Canis lupus familiaris: one gene and its partner. The protein of the gene in region 2 purifies or fractionates together with the protein of the main gene of each other region. This does not show direct contact. Links are inferred from orthologs where the notes say so. Each region holds a gene or a part of one and is shown on either strand. Other genes may lie near its edges.

Region 1 (3,808 bases), on a different chromosome or scaffold from region 2:
CTGAGATTATGACCGGAGTTGAAATCAAGAGTCAGATGCTTAACCAACTGAGCCACCCAGGTGCCCCCAAAGAGCACTCACAGTTAGTAGTTACCATATGACCGCCCCACTTTGTAATCATGAAATTGGGTACTGGGATAAAGGAGAGAACTCACCTCTCGTTTGATAGGCTCCCCTTCACAGTGGATCACTGTGTCTGGGGCAACAATGCAGTAAGGACTGGGATCTGTCTCCACTACTTTGAACTCTACAGCACGCATTCCACCCCGGACAAGGAAAATGTCTCCTGTGAGAGTAATTAGCACAAGTGCAGTCAGAGATGTCAAATACCAGAGCAAGTGAGAGTTCCTCACCAGAACCTGTTGTCTAAAATGCCAAGTTCACTAGATACTGCCCCTTTCCCCTTCCCACCTCTACCTTATTAAGCATCAGGCAAGAGGAGAAAGCTAAACTGTGAAGTGTCCCTCTGCCATTCAAGAGGACACTGAACAAAATCTTATGGGCTATAGGTAACCAAGCTTTCACAACAACCACAGATGATCAGACTGTGCTAAATATTAAATACACTTTGGACTGTGACACAGCCAAAAAGTGCCCAAGTCCTCCTTCTGGGACAAAGGAGAAGAGAGCTTACTCTACTGAAGCAGGGAATGATAGTAGGGAAATGGAGGAGTGGGAAGGAGGAGGAAGGAAGGAGAGTACACATGAGCGTGTATGCAGAATGTGTGTGTAAGCACACATATGAGAATGAGATAAAGACATTCCAAGATTTACTCCCAGGTATCCCTACAAACAACTATCCTTAAGCTCAGTCTTTAGAATTATCTCTCACCTTTCCGGATGGGTCGATAAGCTTCCAGGAAGTATGGCTTAAGGTATACCTCGAAGAGATTGCCAGTGATGCCTTCCACCGTGTCATCGATGGGTAGCACGTGGATACGTTTGCCGTACTTCACATCAGGACACGGCTGGATGCTGAGGATGACAAGCAGACTCCACATTACCAACCACAATGTAGCCCCAAACACTGGGCGTCTGAAAGTGCCTGGCACAGAGAGCTGACGGCAAGTAAAAGAAAAAAGGTAGGGATGGCTTTAGGTGAAGAGAGGAAGGAGGGCAGAGTGAGAGTGAGGACAAAAGAGCAGCCAAACAGAACTAAGACCAAGTCATACTTGGGGGAAGGGCAGTAGTAGGAGCCATTAGAAGAAGCTACAAATTTACATTAAAATTTTATTTTTTTTAGGTAAATTTAAAGTTGAACTAAAATGGGGCTGCTCACTCCCAATCAGTGAGCCAAAAGGAAGACCCACACATGTAAAGCCCCCAAAATGAAGAAATAGGAGCAAGGATCTTCAGTGAGAGATATCCAAAGATGACCCATTTGGCTAATATTAGTAACCCAAAATTACGGAGGCCGTAGTGGGACAAGTATCAGGATCAAAAAAATAAAACTGAAAAAAAAAAAAAAAAAAAAAGTCATCTCAGCCAGGTGGTCAGAGAAACTTGACGTGATTAAGCACCTCCAGAAGGCTACATGAAATCTAGAATCCATTAAAAATAATCAGAAGTCTGAGATGTTCCTGGCCAGTCTCAGATGTTCCTGACAGGGGGTTGGATAGCTGTGGCTAGTGATGACTCCAAGATGGGAAAGCTTCTTGCCTAAAGTTAAGTTTAAAATCTCTCAGATTGGGGATCCCTAGGTGTCCCAGTGATTAAGCTCCTGCCTTCTGCCTGGGGCAGGATCCTAGAGTCCCAGAATTGAGCCCCACATCGAGCTCCCTGCATGGAGCATGTTTCTCCCTTTGCCTGTGTCTGTGCCTCTCTCTCTCTCTCATGAATAAAATCTTTAAAAAAAAAAAAATCACTCAGATAGAAGCTGAAGCTATTCAGGGTCTGACTCAAACTATGCTTCTATTCTATATTAACTTTGATCCATAAAAAAACCCTAATCGGAAATTCGCCTTCTATGCCCACACTCCTACCTCATTCTGGTCCCAACACAAGCCATTATTTCAACATAACAGTGAGATTGTTTCATAGACACTCTCAAATGGTATCCTAAACCAGCGTTCAGCATGTTATAAATCATACCTCTGGCAAAAAAAATAAGTAAAGGTATCACAGAAGTCACAGAAATGCAACTTGTCCCAAGGGTCATGCAGAAGTAAATTCTGAAGTCTCAGGGAGGCAGAATCAAAACCTAAAGATAGCCCTGCTATATTAAGTCTTCCCATGGCTAGAAGGATTCTGCTATGGGTAGCTGCCAAGAACTTCATTAGTCCTGTCTATAATTCAGGCTGTCTCTGGCCTCCCATCCCTGAGGGGCTAAGAACCCCACACACACCTGATTACATCCCCTAGATGTACGCGAAGGTTATTCCGAACAACTCTATTCATTCGAATCTTCTCATCGGAACATGTGTCATCAGAAAGCACAATGCACACAGCTTCCCGCCTCTTCTTTCCTTTCAGCAATACTGTGTCACCTCGGAACAACTGCAGTTCATCCATCTTGGGCTGAGAAAAGAAGGTTAAGGCCTTTGGGTCACTGGGCCAAGGGGTAGGCAGCAGCCCTGGAGGCTGGAATTCCCAGTAAACCCCACTCTATCTGTGGTCACTGCAAAAAAAAAAAATGAGGAAAGAAACCTGGGAAAAGTCCTCAGGTTAAGTGCAATAAGGAAAGACTGAACCTTTGACCCAACTTACCTGGGACAAGGACACCACACTGTTGTCCTCATTGATGGCTTCATCGACAATTAACCGATTGGGACGATTCTTCTGTTTAAGAATGGCTGTTGATAAGTCATCACCTTTTGAACTAAAAAGAGAAAATGAATTTAGTCCCAATACATACTCCAGTCCCAGGGACCCCACCAGTCTTTAAAATTCACACTTACGAAAGAAATAGTGGATATATGAAGCTGTCCCTATGCCAGAGAGGTCAGATAAAGGATATTCAGCCACGGTCACGAAGAGTAACATTTAGCACATACAATTCCCATTCCAGCATCTCTTAGTATTCTGAGCACTGGTATCCTAGCTGTTAAGGCCCCAAGTGATCTTGCCCCAGAGTCAGGAAACTATGGCCTGAGAAGACTAAATAGAGGTAGAGGCTGAGTAGGACACCCAGGTGGCTCAGGGGTTGAGCATCTGCCTTCAGCTCAAGTCATGGTCCTGGGGTCCTGGGATCGGGGTTCTGGGATCGAGTCCTGCATCAGGCTCCCCACAGGGAGCCTGCTTCTCCCTCTGCCTGTGTCTCTGCCTCTCTCTGTGCCCCTCATGAATAAATTTTTTTTTTTAAAGTAGAGGCTAAGTAACAATTAGAGAAATGACAATAATCTTAGTATGAAAGAAACAGTGATTAGGAGAAGGGGCTATGCAGTCAGACCTGCTGGGTCTGAATCCCAACCCTGCCACTGTTTAATTGTCATCTTGAGCAAGTTACTTAACTTCTCTGGATGATGATGTCCTCATCTGAAAAGAAGCAAATACAGTAGTACCTATCTTAAAGAATTATCTTAAGTGAGATAATGAATGCAACAATGCCTGGCACATGGTATTAATGGTCACAATGATTACCACTGCAGAAGAAAGCATAAACTCTTCTTTGCTAACCTTCTTGGAGAATGAAGTGAGCAAGACAACTTCCTGTAGGACTCAGGGAGGCCCCAAGTCCCACCAAGCCTGGGGACAATGAAGTAGAATCATTAGCACTACCATCCTTACTGGCTAAACCTGCTAAATTCCAGAGCATTCTATATACCACAGAAATGCCAAGCACAAAGACTATGACATTTGGGGAAAACTA
Region 2 (4,249 bases):
TCCTTCAGGGTACACTGGCTTGTCCTGACGATGAAGTTGCAGAGCTGAGGGACCTCCAGCTCAACCTGGGAAGAGGGTAGCAGTACATGAAGACCGTCCCTCAAGAACAGGAGACCCCTCACAGCCCAAGGCTTACTCCCTAATCAGGACACCAAAGGAAATACAGTTGGGGACCACTGGTTAGACGGAATGCAGTCTAGGAGCTAGAGGAAGAACAACGGGAAGCAGGAAGAAGGCTATCATTGGTTTCAACAGCAAATGTCTCCTTCATGTCACCAAACAACCCAACCAATCCAACTGTCTGTAACTATTGGGGCCTATTCAGAGCTTCATGTATTGCAGGAGCTTATGGAGATCCCTAGTGGTTATCTAACACTGTTCAGGAACTTTCTGCAAAAACTGAAATCTTCTACATTTGCCCTGTCTGATATGAGAGTCATTAGCCATGGGCACTTGAAATGTGGCTGGTATGATCAAGAAGCTGAATTTTAAGTTTTACTCAATTGAAATAGCCACATGTGGTCAATGGCTACCTCATTTAACATAGACTATGGGGCCCTAGAAAGAAGAGGTCAGTTTCCCAGCTTGACTTCTCTTTCCCACATGACCCCCAGTAGTGGCCCTTAGATCCATCCCTTATGAACATGCACGTGAGTACAATCATTCCAGCAATAGATAAAGTTTTATTTGAGAACAAACTACATATTTAAATTTTTCTTTCTTTCTTTTTTTTTCTTCTGTTTGGCTGCAAATATAAACACTGCACCCCAGAATGCTTTCCTGAGATGCCCATCTCCCTTGGCTTACCACCCATTGTGTTTCTCTCATCTTGTTAAATCTACCGTTCTACAATGCTGATATTTTAGATCATGTATTCCAGTTACATCTTGGAAGCTAATGGAAAAATAAATCTGGCTGGCAAAATTTTTTGTAGCAGAAAACTCAGCAGAGTGGCTAACTTTCAAACGTAGGGACAGTTCCTTGCTTTGTGATTATAGCAGTCCTGCTGTGACCTGGGTTTGCAAGGCCAGAAGCCCCAGCTTCCTTTAGTGGCTCTTCCTCTCCCCTCATACCTTGCAGTTGATCCTGGTGGCACTTCTTGAATCAGTGGTCCCAGGGATACTGCTGGAACTCTCAGCCTCATAGTTGTATACATACTTCCTGAGGTGCTTGAAGCGAGTTGCACCTTCTAAAATGGGGACAAATAAGTCAGCTACATAGCAGATAACTCCCCCAAGGATAGTCTATTCTAGGAAGCGAGGGGTAGTGACAAAGACCATAAAAAGTGGTAACTAAACTCCAATTGTTATTGTCATTACTTTAAAAAGATTTTATTTATTCATGAGAGACAGAGAGGCAGAGACATAAGCAGAGGGAGAAGCAGGCTCCCTGCGGGGACCCCGATGTGGGACTCGATCCCAGGACCCCAGGATCACGACCTGAGCTGAAGGCAGATGCTTAACTACTGAGCCACTCAGGTGTCACTCCAATTATTATTTCTAAAAAAAATTTTTTCCCAATTATTTTTAATTGACTTTGCACTATCCTTAATTTCCCTTTACAGATTTAACTTCTCCGCTATGGTTTGTTGAGGATGTTTAAATTTGCCAGTAATTTTTGAATGTATCATGGGGTGCAAGGAGGGGAGTGGTAAACAGTGGAGCCCAGAAAGTCTATGGAGAGACGGTGGATTAACAGTTGGCCTCGTAAAGCAAATACCTCTAACACCTGTTCCGCTCGAAAATACCACGATTCTGTGGCTCCTTTTTTTTTTTTTTTTGGTTCTACCAAATCCCTGAGGCGAGGTTCATTAAGTTTTCGGGGTAGCTGACTGTCTTAAGAAAAATTCCGAGAAGGAATTTCCGGAGTTTCTCACCGTGCTTGAGAATTTGTCGAACAGTTTGAGGAAAAAAAAGAAAAAAAAAAAAAGAACATTTGGGGCCCGAGCACCGGTGCAGTGACGCCAGACGGCCACGCGATGGCAGTGCTGCCCCACCAGAGGCCACGGCCTCCCGCTCTCAGGACACTGGGTACCACCAGACGGCCGGCTCCTTGACCCGTGGAGGTCAGGTAAATACTTAGGAGCGGGGTCTGGATTTGTGCGCAAAGGTTAAAGTCAGCATTTCCTCACCCTCATGTGCTTCGAATCAATGATTAGCCACGGATAAACAGACGGTAACGTGATGTCTCTTTAAAGTGTCCCTGGGCCCACTGGATGACAGTCCCTTCCCTACCCTGCCCCCAGGCCAAGCTCTAGGGACTGAACATTAATGCAGGGAGAAGAGAGTCGAGATCCCCGGGGGGTGGGCAGAGTCTCAGGGGACTGGCCTCTTGGGGCTCAGAGGGGTGCACACTCATCAGACCATCGCGGCGCCCGCGGGCGGGAGGAGGGCGGGGGCCGGGGCCGGGCCGGGCCGGGCCGGGCCGGGCCGGGGCGGGGGCGGGGGCGCCCTCCCAGCGCGGCGGGAAGGGCCTTACTTGCGCAGCCGGGGCTCGCACTCTCCGGCACCTCGTCTTCTGCAAGAAAAGGGGAAAGGGCGCGTGGGCTTCCCGCGTCTCCCCGCGGGCCCAGGGTCTCCCGGGGCGGGGAGGGCGCCGCGGAGGGCGGGCACCTGGCGCTCTGCAGGGAAGGCGGTTCCGGGGGGCCGGGCCGCGGGGCGTCCACCCCCACCCCCCGGGGCTCAGCGCCCCCCCCAGGCTCAGCGCCCCCCAGGCTCAGCCCCCCGCCCCCCGGGCTCAGCGCCCCGCACTCACGAGCCCAGGCGCGGGGGGCGGCCAGCAGCAGAGGCAGCAGCAGCAGCGCGGGCCCGGGCCGGCCCATGCCGACGGGGGGCTCGGGGGGCGCCGGGGGCGCGGGGGCGGCTGGCCGGACGGCTCGCGGGAGGCTCAGGGGCCGCACCCGCAGGCGGCCGCCCCGCACGAGGAGGGAATGCGCCGCCCGCGCCCGCGCCCGCTTTATACCAGGCCGCCCGGGGCGCAGCGCCCGGCTCGGGGCGCGCAGGCCAGTTGCAAAAGGTCCAAAGGGCAGCCGGCTGTTTGCTTTTGCAGCTCGAGGAGGGGCCGGCGAGGGGGCGAGCGCGGGCCGCCAGGCCGTGGGGGCGCCCGGAGCCCCGCCCGCGGAGGCTGGGGCCGGGGGGCCCCCCGAGGTGCCCGCGCACCCCACGGCACCCGCACCGCCGCTCCCCTCCGCCTTTGTAGCCGTTTCCAGAACCGGCCCTTAACAGCCGCTCGGTTGAGACCTTTTCCGTTCTGTTCGGGTCTGGGGGACTGTGGGGTGGGAGGGGCCCCCACCCCTCACCCCTCACCCCTCGCCGGGATGGCGCCCCTGGCCTGGGGTCGCGGCCTGCACGCCCGCCCGCCCGGAGGGAGCAGAGGGGCACTGGCTGGGGGTCCTGGACCAGTCCCAGGCCCGGCCGAGCCGAGCGCCCACATGGTCCACATGGTCCACATGGTCCACATGGTCAGGAAACCCCAGCGAGGTGCCCCTCCCCCGTCATCGTGGGAAACTGGGGAGAGGAGGCCTTTCTCTGCCTGCCCCAGCTCCTGGGTTGCGTCCAGGAACGGGAGGACGGTGGGGGCCGCCGCGTGGTGCATGGACACCTGGACACCGCATGCTCCTCCGCAACAGCCAGGGCCTCCTCCACACTCCACAGACCCCCCCTTCCTCTACGGGGGACATTTGCCAAGCACCCCTCCCCCCCCCAGCTGTGGGGAATCCCGCACAGCGCAGACATTGCAGCTTCATTGACTTTACTGACCCAGTGGCCGTCCAGAGTGTGAGAGATGGGACGGAGCCACATCCGGCACTGGCCTGTCGCCAGGCACCTCCAGTCTGCCTGGTGACAGATGCCATAGACAGGAAGCTGCAGGCAGGCATCGAAGGTAGGCCTCGGGAGTGCTAACGGGGTGAGGTGTTACAGCAACTGCTGGAGAGGTCCAGGGCAGGGGTGGGGTGCGGAGCCCCGAGCAGGGGTGCAGGGCAGGGGCGAGGAGCCCCCAGTGATGAAGAGGGGACGGCGACTACCCGATGTACAAAAACGCCTATTGCACAGGCCAGTGCTTATTTGTCACAGGCTGGTGCTTCTGTATCCGGGTGGAATAAAGTTCCTGTGTTCGGGTCTTCTGGGGGTGAGGAGGAAGGTTCCAGAAGGGTTCCTTCCCGGTCTCTCAACGGGGACACCTTCTACATTTGCCTTGTTCCTGGCACTTGCATCCACATTTCTCTTTAGCCAGGAACTCCTGGGGTGCC

The links.
Region 1: the proteins of APOB (region 2) and VCP purify together in Homo sapiens (affinity purification with western blotting, with the first as the bait; 3 studies listed by BioGRID). This does not show direct contact. The link is inferred for Canis lupus familiaris from reciprocal best matches to the Homo sapiens genes APOB and VCP.

Annotation. Positions count from the first base shown.
Region 1 is NC_049232.1:51,941,494-51,945,301, forward strand, and holds part of VCP (transitional endoplasmic reticulum ATPase), read right to left. Parts: intron 2,819-3,808; coding exon 2,707-2,818; intron 2,518-2,706; coding exon 2,345-2,517; intron 976-2,344; coding exon 833-975; intron 287-832; coding exon 156-286; intron 1-155. UniProt on the Homo sapiens protein: Necessary for the fragmentation of Golgi stacks during mitosis and for their reassembly after mitosis. Involved in the formation of the transitional endoplasmic reticulum (tER).
Region 2 is NC_049238.1:15,957,782-15,962,030, forward strand, and holds the start of APOB (apolipoprotein B-100), read right to left. Parts: upstream 2,833-4,249; 5' UTR 2,822-2,832; coding exon 2,755-2,821; intron 2,518-2,754; coding exon 2,479-2,517; intron 1,190-2,478; coding exon 1,074-1,189; intron 66-1,073; coding exon 1-65. UniProt on the Homo sapiens protein: Apolipoprotein B is a major protein constituent of chylomicrons (apo B-48), LDL (apo B-100) and VLDL (apo B-100). Apo B-100 functions as a recognition signal for the cellular binding and internalization of LDL particles by the apoB/E receptor.